Rattus norvegicus: one gene and its partners. The main gene of each other region encodes a partner of the protein of the gene in region 3 in a complex. Links are inferred from orthologs where the notes say so. Each region holds a gene or a part of one and is shown on either strand. Other genes may lie near its edges. The genes, in order: Ncaph, Ncapg, Smc4, Ncaph2 and Ncapd2.

Evidence for each region.
Region 1: Smc4 (region 3) and Ncaph share a complex: the UniProt entries of both Homo sapiens proteins name them as parts of the condensin complex. The link is inferred for Rattus norvegicus from reciprocal best matches to the Homo sapiens genes SMC4 and NCAPH.
Region 2: Smc4 (region 3) and Ncapg share a complex: the UniProt entries of both Homo sapiens proteins name them as parts of the condensin complex. The link is inferred for Rattus norvegicus from reciprocal best matches to the Homo sapiens genes SMC4 and NCAPG.
Region 4: the proteins of Smc4 (region 3) and Ncaph2 are in contact, whole or in part, in a cryo-EM structure (PDB 9F5W), measured with the Homo sapiens proteins. The link is inferred for Rattus norvegicus from reciprocal best matches to the Homo sapiens genes SMC4 and NCAPH2. Residues at the interface, in NP_001002800.1 of Homo sapiens: Ile100, Leu101, Gly102, Pro103, Ile112, Gly113, Pro114, Ser117, Gln1151, Met1152, Leu1155, Phe1227, Lys1228, Ser1231, Ile1232, Phe1235, Tyr1236, Glu1239, Gln1240, Asn1253, Asn1254, Phe1256, Glu1257, Arg1261, Gly1264, Ile1265, Tyr1266, Lys1267, Thr1268, Tyr1269; in NP_689512.2 of Homo sapiens: Arg494, Ile495, Trp498, Glu499, Thr501, Val502, Leu505, Leu506, Gln509, Glu510, His512, Phe547, Cys550, Arg551, Met553, Leu554, Leu557, Gln558, Ala560, Asn561, Tyr563, Val565, Glu566, Ile567, Gln569, Leu573, Glu574, Ala576, Val577, Asp578.
Region 5: Smc4 (region 3) and Ncapd2 share a complex: the UniProt entries of both Homo sapiens proteins name them as parts of the condensin complex. The link is inferred for Rattus norvegicus from reciprocal best matches to the Homo sapiens genes SMC4 and NCAPD2.

Annotation. Positions count from the first base shown.
Region 1 is NC_086021.1:134,849,273-134,853,853, forward strand, and holds the start of Ncaph (condensin complex subunit 2), read right to left. Parts: upstream 3,231-4,581; 5' UTR 3,160-3,230; coding exon 3,141-3,159; intron 2,988-3,140; exon of another isoform or gene 2,771-2,987; coding exon of another isoform or gene 2,704-2,770; exon of another isoform or gene 2,607-2,703; intron 1-2,606. UniProt on the Homo sapiens protein: Regulatory subunit of the condensin complex, a complex required for conversion of interphase chromatin into mitotic-like condense chromosomes.
Region 2 is NC_086032.1:69,628,219-69,632,208, reverse strand, and holds part of Ncapg (condensin complex subunit 3), read left to right. Parts: intron 1-2,515; coding exon 2,516-2,626; intron 2,627-2,990; coding exon 2,991-3,110; intron 3,111-3,990. UniProt on the Homo sapiens protein: Regulatory subunit of the condensin complex, a complex required for conversion of interphase chromatin into mitotic-like condense chromosomes.
Region 3 is NC_086020.1:155,553,096-155,557,085, forward strand, and holds part of Smc4 (structural maintenance of chromosomes protein 4), read left to right. Parts: intron 1-283; coding exon 284-475; intron 476-1,817; coding exon 1,818-1,994; intron 1,995-2,082; exon of another isoform or gene 2,083-2,180; intron 2,181-2,231; exon of another isoform or gene 2,232-2,326; intron 2,327-3,990. UniProt on the Homo sapiens protein: Central component of the condensin complex, a complex required for conversion of interphase chromatin into mitotic-like condense chromosomes.
Region 4 is NC_086025.1:122,305,467-122,309,456, reverse strand, and holds part of Ncaph2 (condensin-2 complex subunit H2), read right to left. Parts: intron 2,789-3,990; exon of another isoform or gene 2,700-2,788; intron 2,339-2,699; coding exon 2,237-2,338; intron 1-2,236. UniProt on the Homo sapiens protein: Regulatory subunit of the condensin-2 complex, a complex that seems to provide chromosomes with an additional level of organization and rigidity and in establishing mitotic chromosome architecture.
Region 5 is NC_086022.1:159,660,847-159,664,836, forward strand, and holds part of Ncapd2 (condensin complex subunit 1), read right to left. Parts: intron 3,881-3,990; coding exon 3,765-3,880; intron 3,500-3,764; coding exon 3,275-3,499; intron 2,703-3,274; coding exon 2,528-2,702; intron 2,292-2,527; coding exon 2,207-2,291; intron 865-2,206; coding exon 731-864; intron 418-730; coding exon 285-417; intron 191-284; coding exon 106-190; intron 29-105; coding exon 1-28. UniProt on the Homo sapiens protein: Regulatory subunit of the condensin complex, a complex required for conversion of interphase chromatin into mitotic-like condense chromosomes.

The DNA of each region.
Region 1 (4,581 bases), on a different chromosome or scaffold from region 3:
TAGCCATCCAACTGCGACAGAGCTGGAGGTGTCACGGTAGATTTTGGGGGGCAATTTCCAGTGAGGTGAGTTTGGGAGTCACCGACTGGTATTCATTTAGCACCGGATGAGCTCACAAAATAAGTGAGTGGAGAGGAGCTGACGGCTGAGATGGATTCCAGCATACTTACAAAACTACGCAACAGGAAAAGGGCTAGGGGAAGCCAACATGGTTCTACCAACTAAGCCGCATGTTCTCTGTGGTTTTTACTGTCTTTATGACTGGAATGCAGGTGAACTCAGCAGCTAAGGGACAGTGCAGAAGGCACTGGAAAGCTAAGGAAAGGAGGACATGGCCAGCCACCTAGAATTAGGAAATGAATGACGTGGGGGTGTGGCATAGTTGACAGCAGCTTTGAAGGCCCCAAACCAACCACCCAGCAGCCCTAAGTATTTCTCTCTGGCCACTGTCAAGTGTGCAGAATGGGGGTGTTTAAATTAACCGGGGTTGTGGGTCTTGCCAAGAACCTGTAAGAAAGGAAGAGGACGGGCTGGAGAGATGGCTCAGCAGTTAAGAGCACCCGACTGCTCTTCCAGAGGTCATGAGTTCAATTCCCAGCAACCACATGGTGGCTCACAACCATCTGTAAAGAGATCTGATGCCCTCTTCTGGTGTATCTGAAGACAGCTACAGTGTACTTATATAATAAATAAAATAAATCTAAAAAAAAAAAAAAAAAAAAAAAAAAAAGGAAGGAAGAGGACACAGGGAGACACGTGAGCATACTGACTGACCAGGAAGGTAACATAAATAAGGAAGGAAGGGGACACAAGGTGGCCATAGGTGACAAACAGTCGTAGAATATGTCGGCAGAAACAAAAGCTGACCTCAGGATGTGAATAAGAGACAATGAGCTGGACACACAGGGGGGATGCAAACACACGGATGACAGGTTATGCCAGGTTATGACATGTTCAAGGTGTGACTGAGGCCTGGTTGACCTACTGTTTTAGAGTAAGACACAAGATTCCTGGGAGGAGTTAAAGGAACCCTAACTCATCCTAATCCCTACCCCCGATTTAACAAACAAAGAGCATTGTTTTAAACGTGGCTTCACCGCATATTAAGAAGACTTTAGGTAAGCAAACAAGCTATCTGTCTCTATGCTGTATCTGCTTCAACACCGCCCCAAATGGAGGAACGTCACCTGGCTCTGGCTATGGCTGGTGGAAGAGTCCTTGCCTAGCTCTTCTCCTTGGGTGGGCACGTGCTGAGAGAAAGGGAGAGGGAGGGAGGGAAGGAAAAAGGGAGAAAAGGAGAGAGGGAGAAAAATGGGAGGAGGGAAGGAGAGAACGCCCAGAGAGTGAGCTGACTTTGCTGTTTCCCAACAGGCGATACAATGCGATTTCAATGTGCACAATAAGATTTTATAGGCACACAGAAAAAAATAAAAGGAGACTGGGAATATAGAGCCATATAGAATTCTTGCCTGGCATGCACACGCCATGGCACAAGACTTATACCACAAAAGTAAACAAAGAGACCCAACAAACAAATGCTTGTCCACAGACAGCAGAAGGAAAAGGCAGTCCAAAAACTTTACAAGGGTATAGTTTACACAACTCTCATCCAACACCAAGACAAAACAAAAACGTCAAGAGAGCAGATGTGATGTTTTGTGGGCAAAAATCAAGACATTTGTAAATGTGGATAAGGAAAGGAATTGAGAAACTGGAAGCACTGAGGGATAGCTCTTTAAATCCACCACCCATTGTTCTCTGCAGGGGGCGGTATACATCTAACTCAATGGATTGTTACTGAAGTCAAGAGCACTTCCTGTGCCTGATTTTTCCTCCCACTCACTCAGCCCCTCTGCTCTGCTTCAGTTCTCAGCCTGAAGTGGGCACTTCAGGACTTGTCTCTTCTTCTTGAGCTGCTCTTGGCTCCTGTGATACCTGTAACTTGGGTTTTTTCCAGTGCCCTCCTCCCACCCGGCCACCTGTTGCTGGTCCTGAATGTACTCAATACAATGTCTGTCTGGTGTTCCCACCTGGACCCATGGCTTTACGATCCCCGAGATAGAGAAAAACAAATCTACCTCTCAGCCTATGGACCTCTGTCAAACTCATCCAGTAGAAACCCTCTCACCTGTGCACCTCACCTCTCCAGGAAGTCACAAGCAACAAATTCAAAATGAAACTATTATTAGAAAACTCTAACTTAGGCCTACCAGGTCCTGCCTGTTGTCAGTCTCACTAAGTTTAGTTATAATGGTCTAGCTCAGTGGTTCTCAACCTTCCTAATGCTGTGACCCTTTGACACAGTTCCTCATATTGTGCTGACCCCCCCCACCATAAAATTATTTTCATTGCTACTTCATAACTGTAAATTTGCTACTGTTATGAATCTTTTTTTTTTTTTTTTGGTTCTTTTTTTCGGAGCTGGAGACCGAACCCAGGGTCTTGCGCTTCCTAGGTAAGCGCTCTACCACTGAGCTAAATCCCCAGCCCCTACTGTTATGAATCTTAATGTAAACATCTGTTTTCTGATGATCTTAGGTGAACCCTGTAGAAAGGTCATTTGACACCTCCCCATGGGGACTGTCACCCAAAGGTTGAGAACATACAGTGTAGTAATTCCTAGACCAGTTCAGATTCCTTCCTGGCTCGTCCCTTGGACACGATGCTCCGAGCTAGCTCAAAGTCACTATAGCTGAGGATAACCTTGAATTTCTGATCCTCCAGTCTCCAACTCAAGTGCCCAGGCTTCTTCGGTTGCGAATTTCTGCATCTGACCAAGGTCTGTCCCAAAGGGAGCCCTCAAGACTTTTGAATCAGTTCCAAAAGACAGGCACGAGTGCTCAACACAGAACGGTCGACCCTATGCTTCCACAGCTCCCCACACAACGTCCAGTCCAGAACCACTCCCCCAACCTTTTCCTCCGTTGGAACCGGGGCGCGGGGAGCATTAGAGCCTGGCCGCCACTGGCAGCTGCACCCTGATTGGCCCAGCGCCCCGCTTTCCCTCGGCTTGTCTTCCCTTCCCCCTCCACAGCCCCCGGCTGAACCCCGCCGAACACATTCGTCCCTTCTGGACCTGCCCACGCGAGCACCCTTCGGTCCTGATCCTGACAGCCGCGCCTCGACCCACTCGAGCTCACCTGAGCGTGGGATTTTCATCTTGCTCTCCACGTCTCCGTAGTTAAGTTTTAAATCGTGAGCGCCAAGCGCGGTAACTGCCGCGTGACGCCCCTGGGGGAGTGGCCTTTGGTGCGCCTGCGCAGACCGCCCAGGCGGCTGATTAAAAACTGTGCCGGCGGGAAGTCCTTCATTGAAGTCTAAGCAAGTGAGCTTAGCTGCAGCGGTGACCTAGCTGATGACGTTTGGAAACGCTGGCGGCCGAGCGCTGGGCGCCGAGTAGGATGTGTAGATCTGGGCGGGCAAAGGCTGTACTTTCCTAGAATCTGGATTGTAATGGGGAGGCAGGTTTCTGAGGGATGGAGGTTCATTGTCTTAAAAGACATGTTCTTTGTGGGTAGAAAACGGTATCCTTCTTGAAGTTCCAGGCAAGCAAGAAGGAACGTAAAGCATTGTGTATGCATGTGTACACTCCACCCAGAGTATTGTGTATGTATACATCCCAAGAGCATTGTGTGTGCATGTGTGTACACACACCCCAGAGCCTTGTGTTGACACGTGTGGGCGCCCAGTACAGTTCATATACGTGTATACACTTCCAGAGAGCTTTCTGTCTGCATGTATGTGTACACGTCCATACACACACATATCAGAGCATTGTGTGAGCATGTGTATCTGCACCAAAGCATACATCTACACACATGCATGTACATACATTTGAAAACGAAGCTTTTGTCCAGATTCTTGTAAAAGGCTTTTTGGAGGCCAGCTGCCTACCACCCTTTTTTAAACGGAGGCCTGGGGTGTAGCTGTTTAACATCCTTTACACCATTTGCCTGCCTGCTTACTGTCATCGGTGCCCCTCATTTGGGAAACCAAAGCTCTGCCCTTTGTTGAAAGCTAATTTTAAAAAAAATTTCATTTGATGTGAATGAGTGTTTTACCTGAGTATGTGTGCATTTACTACATGCATGGCTGGTACCCAAGAAGACCGGAAAAGGCTGTCAGATCCCCTGGGATTGGAGTGACAGATGTTTGTGAGCCACCATGTGGGTGCTGGGAATGAAACCCAGGTCTCCTGCAAGAGCAACAAGTACTCTGGACCAACAAGCTACTTCTCTAACTCCCAAAAGCTTCTCTTGAAAGCTATTTAGTTTTTGCATGGATTTGCAAAACTACTTTGGAATGAGGCAGCCTGGTGTACCGGCCCCAGACCTTAGCAGCACTGACTCCATGACAATTTGGACTGTTAAACTCATCGTGGAGGTAGGAGCACCTGCCAAAGGGAAACAAAGACAGAATCTATCAAAGTCTCTAAATGTTCTAACCTTGCTTTTTAGCCTCTGTAGTTCCACTTCTCGCTAACAGTTCTCGTTAACTGAAGTGTGTCAACCCAGAACATGGTTTTGTTCTTAAAAGTTCACCATGAGAAAGGCTCAGGGCTACACTGGATCCTGAACACAC
Region 2 (3,990 bases), on a different chromosome or scaffold from region 3:
TGTTTGAGAGATATGTACTTCATAATTTCATGTAGGATGCTACTGGTTTTCCTCCAGGAAGAAATAGGTTAACTAGAGATGCAAATAAAATTAACATGTTAGACTTTTCATTGTCGTGAGATACTAAGAAAACAGTTGGGAAGTGTCTTAGTTTTACTTCTGTGAACAGACACCATGACCAAGGCAAGTCTTTATAATTGGGGCTGGCTCACAGGGTCAGAGGTTCAGTCCATTATCATCAAGGCAGGAACATGACAGCATCCAGGCAGGCATGGTGCAGGAGGAGCTGAGTTCTACATCTTCATCTGAAGGCTGCTAGCAGAATACTGACCTGCAGGCATTTATGGTGAGGGTCTTAAAACCCACGCCCACAATGACACACCCACTCCAACAAGGCCACATCTACTCCAACAGGGCCATACCTTCTAATAATGGCACTGCTTGGGCCAATATACAAACTGTCATAGGAGGGAAGGAGGGTTTATTTGAGTTCATAAAGTTTTAGAGGTTTCTGCGAGAGTTGAGAGGTTGTTGCAGAACAGAGAGGCTCCCATCCTGACAGACAGGGGCCAGAATGCCTATGCTGTTTGGTGGTGGTGGTGGTGGTGGTGGTGGTGGTGGTGGTGGTGGTGTCTGGTGGTGGTTGGGGTGTGTGTGTGTGTGTGTGTGTGTGTGTGTGTGTGTGTGCGCGCGCGTGTGCGTGCGTGCGTGCAGGCGTGTGTTTCTTTACTGCCGTGTACTTTTAGGCCTTGTATACTAGCCTGTGAGGTAGTGCCACTTGCATTCAGGGTGGATCTTTCCTTCCTTTAATTGTCTTTGGAGATACCCTCATACACATCCAGTGATGTGCTCGATTAATGTTTACTAGCTGCTTCTCCACCCAGTAGAGTTGGCCGTCAAGATTAAGCATCTACACCTAGTACTATAGAACACATAGTGTAACCTAGTAAGTTAAAGGGCGTTTTTCCCTTGTGGTAGTCTAGTTAGGTGATTATCTCTTCAAGCACTTTACAAATGTGAATTCATTTTTCTTACAGTCCTCAAGTCCCAATGGTTTCAAACCTAATAGTTACTATAAAATGATACTTTAATGCACTTTGTGTTGTTTCTCCGTAATGAGTGGGTAAGGAAATGTAGATGTTGTGATGGTAAGTATGATGGCACAGAGTTTAAAATAAGATGCTTGCTGTGCTTTAAACCTTCCAGTTTACATGGGAAGAGAATTGGAGAGGTAATAGGCAAATCAGAGGAAATGTTATGGGCCAGATAAATGTAAGGCCTTGCATTGTCCATATTAAAGAATCGACCTTATTCAGAGATGATGGTGGATACAAGGATATTTTTAAGAATAGGATGAGTACTCTGTAATACAGGGTTAGTATTATTTGAAAGTAGATTAGAATGATAAACGCCGAGATGCTCATACTTCTTGGCAGAGTTTCAGAAGTATGGCTTGAGATGATAGCATTGTGAACCAGATGATGCTGAGTACAAATAGATGTGACCTACGTCAGAGTTATTTAAGGTCTAGTAACAGGAAGAAAAAGAATCAATCAAGAGTTTCTTAGGTCTCCTTTTGCTTTGGACAAATGAAAATAGATGGTCATGATATGATGATAGAGTGTACGAGTTAGACATTTAGTAATGGGTTAGTTCCATTTTGGATGTGCTGAGATTGAGGAGCCTGTGAAACATGAAAGAAGTGTGTTCTAGAAGATTCTAGATTCTAGATTCTACTCACCCCAGATAGTGTTCTATGACAGACTGACGACGTACTGTACACCAATGTCCAACTTCCTTAACTAATGTGTTTTCTTTGGGTTACTTACAGAAATATGAGGGGTTACTTATAGGAGCAGAAATGAGTGACTCGGGGTTGGGGATTTAGCTCAGTGGTAGAGCACTTGCCTAGCAAGCACGAGGCCCTGGGTTCGGTCCCCAGCTCCGAAAAAAAGAATAAAAAAAAAAAAAATGAGTGACTCAAAGGACAGCTGTATTACTAAAGGTCACCTCAGTGAGGGTGACAGCTCATAAAGCTGAGAACCTGGAGTATAACATTATACAGTCTGCTGGTAGCAGGTTGGAGAGTGTTCGTTCTAGGTGCCTCAGTTGGTCTAAACCTCTAACAGGCAGTTCAAATGGTTTCTGCTTCTTACAGGCAGTCGTTGAGTCTTTGCAGGTGACTTGTCTGAAAATCTTTTCAGCTCTTACTACTTACTCTGGCAGGGGAGGGGCCTAGTGAATCTGGTCAATTTCAGAAACTTCCCGAATCTGTTTTGAGGTGATTAACAATCCTGATTAAAGTGTCCTTTTAGACTGGAATGTTTCAATCTAGGAGGAAACTGTTACACAAAATTGGGCCAGCTCATAAATGAAAGATAAAGTTGCATGGTGAGATAAGACTGCCAAAGGAACAGAGTAACAGTATGCACAGAAAAGGTTTCAAGAGAGCAGTTGTTTAAGGGATGGTAAGTGATGTTCTTACTAATGATGGTTATTTTGTCTTTCATTTTAGAACGATGTGGAAACATTACAGAAGTGTTTTATTTTGTGTTATGAACTGTTGAAACGAATGTCCATTTCAACTGGAATTGGTGCAACCATGAATGGGATCATTGAATCTTTGGTACACTGCTGGCCTTTGAGACCTTTTATGCTCTTCTACTTTATTATATAATAATTTATAATAATTAATTAATAATTTAAAAATTAATAATTAAAAGACAACCACATCAGATAAATATAATGAACTATGTATATCCATAGTGACTACTTCATAATATGAAGAATAATTTAAATAATACATTTTTATAAAGTCACTTTTAAATAAAACAAGTTATTCATAGGATATGTTTATTGAATACATGTTATCTAAGAAATGCTTGAAATATAGTGTACATAAAATACAAAACTACAGATAGCCATCCTGGGTCTTCTGCTTAAGTGAAGGCAGCATTGTTAAAAAATAAATACTATATATTTTGTTGTAGATTCTTCCTGGAATAATAAGTGTTCATCCTATAGTAAGAAACTTGGCTGTTTTGTGCTTGGGATGCTGTGGACTACAGGATCAGAATTTTGCAAGTAAACACTTTATATTGTTCTTACAGGTAGGATTTATTTTATGACTGTGTGTCTGTTTCTTGAAATGCTCTTATCTCTGGTGATATGTTAAAATTCTGGGTGTGTTCAGATGTTTAATTGATGGATTGTGGATAATCTTTAGGGTTTTAATTTTTATCTTGATAGTTTATAAAAATGTCTTCATAGAACAAGATGGGGTAACAGTTTAAGTTGAGTCATGTAGGTTATATGAGTGCATACTATGTGCTGTCACTGTTCTTGGCTTACGATAAATATAGTAGGTAAATGATGAGGAGAACCAACCTGAGTTTGTGCTGTTGGAGCTTGTTTTTCTGAAGGGGAAACAGACTATGTGTTGTGCCAGCTAAGCATAACCAGAACATAGCAGCAGCAGTTGTGGGAGTGAGGTGAGGCAGAGAGCCTGTGCCTGGGATGCTGGCCTGAGTCTTACTTTGACATTCAGACACATAGAGGAAAGTTAAAAGACTAATCCTTATAAATACTTGAAAGAATGCTGTCTTTCTTTCTCTCTTTCTTTCTCTCTCTCTTTCTTTCTTTCTTTCTTTCTTTCTTTCCTTTCTTTCTTTCTTCCTTTCTCCCTTCCTTCCTTTCTTTCTTTCTTTCTAAGATTTTTTTTCTTAGATATGTTGCATGTGTATATATGCTATGCTGTGTAGGTTACTCATGGAGGCCCAAAGAGGGCACTGATCCACTCCTGTTGGGGTTACAGGTCAGCTGCCTGACATAGGTGCTCATATGAACTGAACTTGTGTCCTTTGCAAGATCATAACTACTCTTAACTGCTGAGTCGTCTCTCCAGCTCAGACATTTTATTTCCTTAGGAGAGAGAATAGAGGAGAGAGGTCTTAGGGGTAGGACTTTACTTGGCCTATTTGAGGAACAAAA
Region 3 (3,990 bases):
GCATGTGCTAGAGAAGAACATGATGTAAGAAAACTCAAATTGGGATTTTGGAGGGCATTCTTTTCCTTCAGTTCACTGGCCACTCCCATTCTTGGAGTGCTTTCCTTTTCTTAATAAACTGCTTTTAATTCTAAAGAGAAAGAATGAAAAAGTATTTATCTTTTAATAATGAAAACCTTTAAACACCTTTAATTTTTACTGTAAATTAAGTTATGGAGTAGTTTAAAATTAGTATAAGTGTGACTTTAAATTTAAATTTTTTTTTAAATTTACTTTTATGCAGCGTTTTTCCTGTATTATTGGACCAAATGGCAGTGGAAAATCCAATGTTATTGATTCCATGCTTTTTGTGTTTGGCTATCGAGCACAAAAAATAAGGTCTAAAAAGCTGTCAGTACTGATACATAATTCTGATGAGCACACGGATATTCAGAGTTGTACTGTAGAAGTTCATTTTCAAAAGATAATTGATAAGGTAAGATTATTTGCTACTTGCAACTTCAAGCAAGAAAAACACATCACATTTTATTATTGTAGACCTGAATTGTTTATTTTATGTTTGTGTATAATTAAAGCAAAAGAAATGTTTTTTGCTTCTGTGACCATATTTGCTTCAACTTTTTGGAGGAAGACACTGACTTAGGGGACCCTGAGTGCTAACTAAGCATTCATTCTATTCAGGATACATATGGGCTTCATTTTAAGTCATACATTTTTTCTCTTTAGGATAAACATTTTAATTTTTAAAATGTAATAATTGAGTCTAAAATATAGTAATTAGCTGTGTGTGTAAAATATGGAATTTTCTAAGGTTTGAGCTACCATGATGTATTTGTAGCATTTTTTTAAAATGGTAGGGGACAGGCCTCTGTTTAATTAGCTTAAAAAAATCTATGATTCAAAAAGCAACTGAAAAGAACCTTAAAAAAAATTAATGCATATAATAAAGTAACAGATGATTGGATGCTGGGGGTGTGTTTTAAATATACAGAAACATCTATCGTAATTTTGTTCTGAATTCATTCTGTTGTATTTGAGTTAGAGAATAAATTGCCAGTAAATCAGATATTCCAATACCTAGTCTTTGATCCATCTAAAATTGAATATGACACAGAGCCTTTAAGAATAAATGAACTTTAATGCTAAAATAAATTGATTATTTGCTTTATTGGCTATATAATTGAATTTTTATGATTTGTCTTTCAATTAATGATAGGAGATGTTGTTCAGGAAAGTGCAAAGGGAATCCCAGACACAGACACACACAGACACCACACACCCACACAGACACTACACACAATAAACTGACAGCCATACTCCCTGACACACCTTGACCAGTAAAGTATTTCCCCTTAGTACTTTCCTTAAGTCATCTCTTTTTAACCAGTCATCAAGGTTATTCGAATGGAGTGGGTTGTTGTACATATGCTGGAGTTCTTGTTCACCTTCCTTGGCTCTTATTCAGATATATTTTTTGGCTTCTTCAAAAATTTCATTTTTGTTTGCTTGGTTTAAACTTTTAGAGGTTTTTGAGAAAGAAACCAAACAACTTGGAGAAGTATCTAGTCCTTTGTAAACCAGTTTATTTTTACTTCATTTTAAAATGGTTGTCAGCTTATGGTCATACTTAATTCAGGGGAGATAAAACTAGTAATAGGTGAAAAGTACTAAAGTTAGTTATATACATTTATGACTCTGCTAAAGAATACAAGAAAAAAATAAAATATTTAATCCGTTCCATTAGTTTCAGTATAAAGTAAATAAAATCTGGATCAAACATACCAACAGTTTTCTGGTTCTGTTTTTCCTAAAAACAGGAAGGGGATGATTATGACGTCCTTCCTAACAGCAACTTCTATGTATCTAGAACAGCCTACAGAGATAACACTTCTGTCTATCATATAAGTGGGAAGAAGAGGACATTTAAAGATGTTGGAAATCTTCTTAGAAGCCATGGGATTGACTTAGACCATAATCGATTTTTAATCTTGCAGGTACGTTTAAAAATTCTTCCAAAGTTTTTGGGTTTTGGTTTGTAATAAAGCTTCAAAGGGCGTTGTTCTGTTTGGTGAATCCTGTCTTTTGGAACCTTAAAGTACTGTAGCAGCACATCATGGTTTACATACTACAGTCAAGATGCGAATCATTATTTGCTGCTCTAGAAATTTAAGGAAATTCATTCAAGACTATATTGTTATCATCACACTTGTATTATTATGTTTGGACATTGACATACTTGTTCCGCTCTAGCAGCACGTAAATATTGGCGTAGTGAAATAAATATTAAACACCAATATTATTGTGCTGCTTTAGTGTGACAGGGATATAGCAACTCCCTTTAAGATAAAAGTGTTTCATAGTCCCTTTTGTTTATTGTCACTTTTCTAACATAAAAACCATATATTTGATATTACAGCAAATTTTCCTGGGTACCTAATATAATATTTTTATATTTCAATAAAGGTTTACTTTGCGTGGGTTTAATTTGTACACAATGGCCTAATTTCTTAAACCAATACTATTAGTATCAATTCTTAGGGAAGTCCTTTTTAGAAGTATAAAAAAAATTAGGTTCCTGGTATTTTCATTATTATTATTTCTTTTATTTTATTGTTTCTTCCTTTTTATTTATTTTTCCAATTTTGGTGTGAGTATAGAAGTAAAAGTATATCCTGCTAGTATAATTTGGAAGGAAAATTTTGTCTTCCCTACTTTTTTTTTTTAATACAGTTAGGTATTATGAAATTTCTGTTCTGATTTGAAATTATCTTTTTTTTTTTTGTACTATGCCAAGCTACTAGGAGCATGAATAAAATTTAAAAATGAAATTGCCTGTTATGCAGAGACAGCTGCCGATACAGTGTATCTTTTACTACTGATTTTAAAATAAGTTGGGAGTTTCAATTTAATATAAAATGTTATGTTTATAAATGTTCCCACTAACATAATTTTCACAAATTTTACTCTATATTCTTGAGATTATTATTATTTGAATCATACCCAGTATAAAAAACAAATGATAATTTTCTAGAATACCCCTTAACTGTCATAATAGTGTATTTACAGTACTTTAGTGGGCCAGTGTTACTTAAGTATTGAAAAAAATCAGTTGCAGACATGCATGCTAAATAAGATTTGGATTTATATAGATGTAGCCTTATACCATTGTAGTATTTTTTAGATTTCTATTTTCAGAAATTTGGTTTAATTAACTGGATAAAAACCTGTATTCCTTTATAATCTTAAATTTAGTGGTGGTAACAATTTTGCAGGGAATTATACTAATCTTTTTATTATTTGCTGTTTGCTTAATTTTATTCTGAGATCAGTTTTATGCCAATACAAAATAGACTATGTTTTAGGTCTTGTAAAGTTTTTATACAACGTCTACATAATTTGCTAATACAGGAAGCTGATAAAGTAACTTCCCAAAGAAATAAATAAGTTGAGTTTATATTAAAACCTGCTCCTGGAGTACTTAAGATGAGTTGGTCCTCCTAACTGAACCCTTGTCTGCTCTCACAATTAAACTTTTATATTCTTTCCAAAGAATACTAAGTTAAACATTCTAATTAACAGATTTAGTTTGATTTGGTTGAACTTAGATAAGAACTTTAGCAACTAGATAGAATTCAGAATTCTGTTAAGTCTGAGAGAAAGTGGAAGTAGTTTCTGTGAGTGTTCCTTAGCTCCTTATCACAATCTTTGATTCTTCAACTAGTAAGATTTAAAGCATATGAAGGTAAGTGATATTGTAGCTTTTATTTCATTCTCTCCTCACTGACATTTGTCTTAAAAATTACCCATGGTTAGGGAGGCTAGAAAATCAAAGACAGTATCATAGTACAGCATCCAAGATGCAGAGACAGTGATATGATTATTTCATACGTAATCTAAATTTAGGGAAAGCAAATTTTTAAGATTAAAATGAACTAGATTTTAGAAACTGAAAAGGCTTTAATTACTGTTTATGGACTCATGTTTCTTTAA
Region 4 (3,990 bases), on a different chromosome or scaffold from region 3:
ATTGAGATATAAACATAAAATAATTCTCTGGCGCTGGAGAAATGTCTCAGCAGTTACAGTGCTTGCTCTTTCAGAGGACCGGGCTTGCTTCCCAGCACCCACACCAGCTACTCATGACCACGCGTAACTCCAGCTCGGGAATCAGATGCCTCAGGCTTCTCAGAGTGCCTGCACTCATGTGCACACACCCACACACACAAGCACCTGACACTCACGTGCACACATACACACACACACAAGCACCTGACACTCACGTGCACACATACACACACACAAGCACCTGACACTCATGTGCACACATACACACACACAAGCACCTGACACTCATGTGCACACATACACACACAAGCACCTGACACTCATGTGTACACACCCACACACACAAGCACCTGACATGCAATAGGAGGAATCTGAGTTTGCATCATCAGAATCCATGTTAAAAGCCAAGCATGACAGTGCCTGCTTATAACCCCATCTTGGAGAAGGCTGGGGAAGCAGAGACAGAAGGACCCTGACATTCACTAGCCAGGCAGCCCAAGGAACCAGCATTCAGGTTAAGTAACAGACCCTGTCTCAAAAAGTGAAGTGGGGAGAGATCAAGTAAAGACACAACTTCCACCTCAGGTTTCATACCATATACATGCACAGAGCACACATATACAACAATAACAATAACCTCAAATCAAATCAGTCAAATCAAATCAAATCAGAATTACCTGGACAGCCTCTGCCCCATATTCCACACATCCACAAGCACAGCCCCCTTGACACAGGTCATGGCCATGTCATGATGGGTGCCCACTACGTTTCAGGCAGCTCTTGGCACATGCCCCACAGGCCTGAACCCTCACACATGGTACCCACTGTTTTTTGCTGCAGCTTCTCCTGCTAGCTACACTACCCTATTCACAGGAGGGTGCTGTGAGTCTGATGGCCCTGTCACCACATAACCCATGATGGCCTATGTAATAGACCTTTTTTCAATACTTTTGTTTTTGTGAGGTTTCTCTGTGTAGTCCTGGCTGTCCTAAAACTCACTTTGTAGTCTAGGGCTGGCCTCAAACTCACAGAGATCCACCTGCCTCTGCCTCGCAAGTGCTAGGATTAAAGATGTGCACCCTTTCCCCCCGCCCCCAGCTTTTCACTTGCTTCTTATTGGTCTCCTCCACAGAACCACAGGGCCCACACAGGATGAGACTGGAGTTGTTCTAGATGATGATGCAGCACAACTGCAAGTATACGTGGAAGTGAGGAAGGTAGAGTATCCACACTGTACCTGAAATCATGCACATGAGGGACAGCAGCGCTCACAGCACCCCTGACCCTCTCTTCCTGGCCACTTTACTTATTGTGGTTTTATGGAATCACCATCAGGGCCCTGTGTATGCTAGAAGTGCTATACAAAATGAACTTGGCCACACCATTTTGTAAGTATGTGTTGTATGTATGTGTTTGCATGTGTGCAAACACGCAGAGGTGCATGTACATTGTACAGATGTTTGTGGAAGCTAGAAGCTAACCTCAGGTGTCCTCCTTAACTACTTCCACCTTGTTTTCCTGACTGAACCTGAGTAGAGTACTCATCAGCTGGCTGGCTTGCTGGCTGGCTGGCTGGCTGGCTGGCTGGGCTCAGGGTTCTCGGGTCTCCGCACTACCGTGCTAGAGTTACAGATGCCTGCCATCATGCCCCGCTCTTTATGTGGATGTTGAAGATCCACTCAGGTCCTCAGGCTTATGCAGCAGACTTCTTCCAACAGAACCGCCTACTGGTTTTTAAACTCGGTTACCTGGGCATTGTAGAACACGCCTGTTATCCAAACACTTGAGATGAAAAGGAAAGAGTTCAAGGCAAGCCTCAGCTACAGAGCGAGCTCAAGGCCAGTCAGAGCGAATAAAATCTTGACTCCAAAAACCAACAGGCTGGAGATAGAGCTCAGGGGGTGAAGCACATGGCTAGCATGCACGAAGCCCTAGCTTTGACCCTGCCCACAGGACTACAAACACTAGACATGGTGATTTACACTGTCACACTAGCATTCCAGGAGGTGGAGGCAAAGGAATCAGAAGTTCAAGGCCATCTTCCTCAGACATGTGTAGTGTTTGAGATCAGCCTGGGATGCATGGGATGTGTCTCAAAATAAAAGCCAACGGTACACTCCAGTTGTGAGCTAAGGGTAGGCAGGTTACAGAGAGAGCTCAACACGAAGCACAAACACCAGCAGTGTGTGGAACCCACCTTTTTACTGTAGACACAGGCTGAACCCTGGATCAACAGTGCTGCCTCAATGAAGTTCATCGTGGTTTTACCTTCATCAAAAGAAATGCAGATCTGGTCCAGCTGCAAGAAAGAACGTTAGTAAGCTGGGCTCGGTAAGGGGGTGGTATGCCTATGACCCCAGCAGCCGGGAGACTGAGGCAGGATTCAAGGTCTGCTGGGTTACATAGGGAGACAGCCTCAGAGAAAATAAGATAGCAGTGCAGGAGGAGCCTGTGTTCACTTCCTTCCTGGTAGCTCAAGCTATCACCTACAAACACAGGTACTCCAAGTCTACTCTTGAATTTGCCAGTTGTATCTGGGTGATTCTAGAGAAAAGCTAGATCTTTGTGATTCCCCCTAGTTCCTAGATCCTTCCAGACCAAAGGTTTTACAAGAGGGAGGTCCCCAAAGGACATTGACCATGATGGCCAAAGCTACATACCAGCTCTCACCAGCACTCCAAATTGTACATGCGCCCCCCACAAGGTCAAAAGCCAACTGGGACAAACTACAGCAGACAGACCCTTTACACTGAGAAGGAAAAGACAGAGACAAATGCAGTACACTCTATCCTTTAATTGGAAAACTCAGGAAACAGGTGCCATAAGTAGTTCCCCTCTGCAGCCCTCCTTGGCCTCTGGTAGCCTCAGCTATGTGTTTTAGCTTTTTCCCACTTCTACCTTCTACCATGTGCCCCTACCCATCTCTGTTCAAGCTACCAGTCACAAATGTCAACAAAGTGCCAACATATCCTCAGAACAGCTTTCTCCGAGGCTCTGGGGTTCCAGTTAGATACCTACTGAAGATCTATAAATAATAAACAAACAAACAAATAAAAACACCCCAGAGAATTGTTCTTCACAGTATTAGGGATTAAACTGAAGTCTTGCAGACACTCTTACTGCTGCCCAAACTGTTGTCCATCTGTCTTATTCAACTCTCCAGATTTTTATAAATGAGATCCAATGAACAAGTCCATCCTGGCATCCCCACCTATCCCCCCAAACTGAAGGGTCTCCGCCCCTTACTACTTCAAGCTCCTCTCTAATGACAGCTGATCTGGCCCAGTCTAACCTCTCCCTAACCTCTTACAGACTTTCTGCCACTCAGAGGGAGAACCTGAAATTCTACACAAACCCCCCAAGGGAGGCCTCTAACTCACCAGTCTTCTCCAGCCACTAGCCTTCCCCTGTGAACGGTACTTCATGCCTTCTACTGACCGAGGCAAGCCCCATGTCCCCACTACATACAAATTTTAGCTTACCAGACATGGAAACTCCTTTTACCTCAAATACGATCAGGTCCCTCAGTCTACGTCTTCCTGACATCCTAATCTCTTCTTTCCAGTTTACTACTCCTTTGTGAAACACACAATACAGATAATGGGGAACAGAGCTGCTTTGTCCACTGTCAGCTGTGACTTCCAACAAATCATTTTATCTCTCTAGTGGCGATTTCAGCCTTTGTTGTAAAGGCTACATTGATTTATATGAAACATAAACAAACAATGCTTAGGCCAAATAGACACCCATAGGAAGGAACCAATAATGTGGTTCCTACCCTGATACCCATCCTCCCTAGAGAGCAGAAACTTTATTGAAGGATGAATTACTCTTTGCTTTGCTTGCCATCTGTTTTTGATTTTTAATTTAAAGTGGTTCTTGTCACATAATAAATACTTGATAACAATTAATAAATAAAAGAAAGTAATACCATAAGGCATGTTAGAACAC
Region 5 (3,990 bases), on a different chromosome or scaffold from region 3:
ATCCAGAAGGGATCTGGGTGTGCAAAGCCTAGAGAGAAAGGAGAAGTTGATCTCTCTGGAGAAAGGAACCAAACAGACCTACTTTAGGCCCTCTGGATAGCTTACCCTTTGTGACCATCTCCTGAAGTCGTTCAAACAACTTGTGCTCCTGAGGCAGCCGGAAGGGAGGGTGACGTTCACCCAGGGAAGGCTGAGAAGAAGAGAACAGAATGCCAGAGTGAGAAAGGCCAACAGGAAGCTCTCCACTCCCCTCAGCTGAGTCACAGCCACCCCACATCACCTACCTTCCTCCTGTCCGAGATGTTGGCAATGGCGAGGCACACCTGCTGGGCCAGCCTGTAGTCCTGTGGAAACTTCTCATCCAGCCCTACCTTCACCAGGGTGTCTAAGTTGCTTCCTACAATTTCTGGTTTTCCTCTAGGGAAAGGAAAGCAGAGTTAAAGGCAGCCCTGGGCAGGGTTCTGTGGCAGACAACACCAATGCAGGAAGGCATCAGTACCCGCTGTGGGATGTCTACAGCTCTGAAGCACTCCAGAAAGATCTGACCCAGAGCCAGGTTCCTGGATCCCTCGAGCTTTAACTATAGAAGACAGGCGGGCAGGTACCCTCTTCACCCAGGAAGCCGACCCCATGACAGCTCAACTAGGCTGACTGCATTACTGAGGAAAAGGGACCTTTCAGACTTTCCTTGCCTTCCCCACTCTGCTTGCTTTCTGGATCCAAGCCTCACCGTGCCATCATGCCAAGAAGCATGACAGAGGAACAGCGCTCCAGAGGAGAGCACGGGACCTTCTCCGTTGCCCGTTCCCACAGCAGCTGGATCACTGCTGGCTTTATCTCATCCTTCTGCACAAACTCACAAAGCTGAGGAGAGAAGAACAGTAAGTCTGCTTCAGAATAAAAGTCCCCTGGTCTACCTGTCTCAGGACAACTCTGAGAACCTGGATGGAACTAGCACTTGGGGGTAGAAGAGGAAGAGGCTCAAATGTAAACAGAGTGCGAGGAGTATTTCTTGCTCCATTCTCTATTTCCTGCTTCATGGCTTTCTTCAAAGCTGCACTTCCTAAGATCACACATTCTGAGTTCTATGAGGTGCACAGTTCTGACTGCATGCTGAATATTTCTTACTGTGAGCACAAGTCCATGTATCTGTGACAGGGCCACTGTCCCTTTTGCCTTTTCATTTTCCCAGCAATGCTGACGGCCTGTCAGTCACATGTCGCCTACCCACAGCTGCTTCTGCAGGCCCTGTCTGCCCTCTCACCACTGTATGCCCAGCAGGCTTGTGTGTGACAGGCGGGTCATCTCAGCACATGTCTCCAGCCCTTCCCTGACTACTGTGGGAGTCCTGAGCAGCAGCCAGCCTGGGAAATACCAAGCCGCTTGCCACCGCCAGGTCCTCTTTCCCCAGAAAGGAACAAAAGTAGCAATCAGTAGTCAGGTCTGGCCGTCACTGCCACTTCATTCAAACCCCGGGGACCCCCTAACTTGAAGGCATTCAGTGGCCTCCACAATTGAGTTGCAGCCCATGCTCTCAACTGGATCATTGTCTAATAATGACCTTGAGTCAGAACACAGAGAACACTGCCTTACTTCCTATCAGAATTCTGTCTCTGTCTCTCTGACCGACCTTCCATACCATGCTGACTTGTACCATCATGTTGAGGTAAGCCCCTGACCTCTACCCTTGAGCAGAGGCTGAACATCTTTTCTAGCACTAGCTTATATAGTGTATGTGCGGCAAATCTAGCTGCAGCCAGTCACCCTCCCTCTCCCTGAGCCTCCCTCACAGATTCCCACCCTAGCTACACAAAGAACTGTTCCTGAGTTGTTGCCCAGTGGTGTTAAGGACAGTGCTAGGCACACATTAAGCATCACTGTTATCCTGCTCACCTCTGTCACCAATTCTGGAGGTGGATACTTGTGCTACATTTTACTAAATATGTTTTGTGGTTTTTTGTTTTTTTTTTTACTATAACCAAACACACCTGAGTCTGAACACTGAGGACTATGAGTTTGAGGCAAGCCTGGGCTACACAGTCAGACAACTGCCTCAAACCAACAGGAAACAAACTAGGAAATAAAAATAAAGTTGGGAATGGGAAAGCAATTAATTAAACTTCTTTGTGGGGCTGAGCAGATCTCTGCGCACAGGAACAGCCACTAATTGTAAGTGTGGGATGAGAGAAGGAACAAGGGGACTTACAATTTCTTCAAGACACTGAATGGTCCCGACGGAGGCATCTACTAACAGCAACGAGAGGTTCTGAATCAAGGCCTGCGCTGTGGCTCTGCAGGAACAGCAGAGATCAGTGGTCACTACGACTGGGAATCAGAACTTGGCAAACAGGCTGTTAGATTAAATAAGTGCTCGGAGCAGACCCCAGCAGAAGTCCACCCTGAGCCTGGTATAGACCCATCCATGAGTTCAGAACAACCCTAGAATATCTTCCTCATTCAGAAGACTAGGAAATCCCGTGAGAAGCTGACCTCAGAAAAGTTAACGAAGACAAGGAACCCCAGATACCTGGCTGAGTCCCCTTTCGGGCTGAGGTACAGTTGGCGGTATGCATTAAGGACAGCTTCCCGGACACCAAGCTCCTTAGACCAGATGAGAGGCAGCATGCGGCGTACCCCAAACAGGGCCTGGGGTACCCCAAATTGGAATACCATCACAAAGAACTCAATCACCTCCTGCACCACTGAGAACAGACACAAATATCACCCATCTACTTGGCAAATGTCACAATACTCATAGATAGAACCCTTGGTAACACAGTAACATGGCTGTAGAGGTCATTGTCATTGTCCCTGAGAATGACTGCTAGAACGCCTTCTCGTGACACTGTTAAACAAAGTAAACTATAAATGTCAACAGTGATAAACAACCTCTGCCTTTTAATGATGCAGGCATCAGGGACTGGATGATGGAGCAGGGTTTAAGAACTGTTCTTCCAGAAGACCCAGGTTTGATTCCTAGTACCCACATGGTGGCTCACAACAATTTCTAATTCCAGCTGCAAAGAATCTCTGACCCCCTCTTCTGCTCACCACAGGCACCAACCCTGCATGTAGTACACATTCACGCACATAAAAATGAGTGAGGTCGGGTTGGGGATTTAGCTCAGTGGTAGAGCGCTTGCCTAGCAATCCCAAGGCCCTGGGTTCGGTCCCCAGCTCCGAAAAAAAGAAAAAAAAAAAAAAAATGAGTGAGGTCTTATCCCAATAACAAAGGTGAGCGGGCAGGGCTGTTTCTGAAGAGCACCCGGCCTACCTGTAGTTGTGTTCTCATACATCATCTTGCTGATGACGCCAATGGCTTCTGTGATCTTCTGGGAGAAGCTGTAGGCATCCTGCAGGTACTGCACCAGCATCTCCTGCTTCAGCAGCTCATCGTCCCTCTGGGACCCCTCAGGCTCAGGCACACTAGGAGAGTCTTTACTGCCAGTTAGCCCTGGATCTGTGTGCCTAGGAGATTCGTGTGTGGAAGCTTCAGGGCCTAGGAATTGGAGAGTACGGGAAAGTTTTGCTCAAGTGTACCTGGGAGTCTAGTGGCTATCAACACCCTTCGGAGATTTCTTTCAACGATGTGAAGGTATGAGATTACAATGTGTTTTAAAACACTGTGGTTCATTTCTCAATTCCCGCAGACCTCTCTAGTTTGCAAAGGCGCCCTATGACTGAGCTGCTCCCCTTCCAGAGCAAATGTCAACTCCCCCAGCCTCCTTCAGTCCAAGGCTGGGCTTGCTGACTGAAAGGATTACCTTTGAAGATGACACCCAAGAGATTCAGGAAGTCCTTCTCCTCTGGCTCTGTGTGACTGAAGGGTTCAGACTCCTGGAAGCGACTGGTAGCTTCTCGAGTGAGAAGAATGGCCTGTCTAAAAGAACAGCAGCCTGTCACCAATTTAGCACTAGACCCATGTCCCTGAAACCCTTGTACGGGACCCTACCTAATGACTCCATCCAGCCCCTACATGCAGTACCCTAT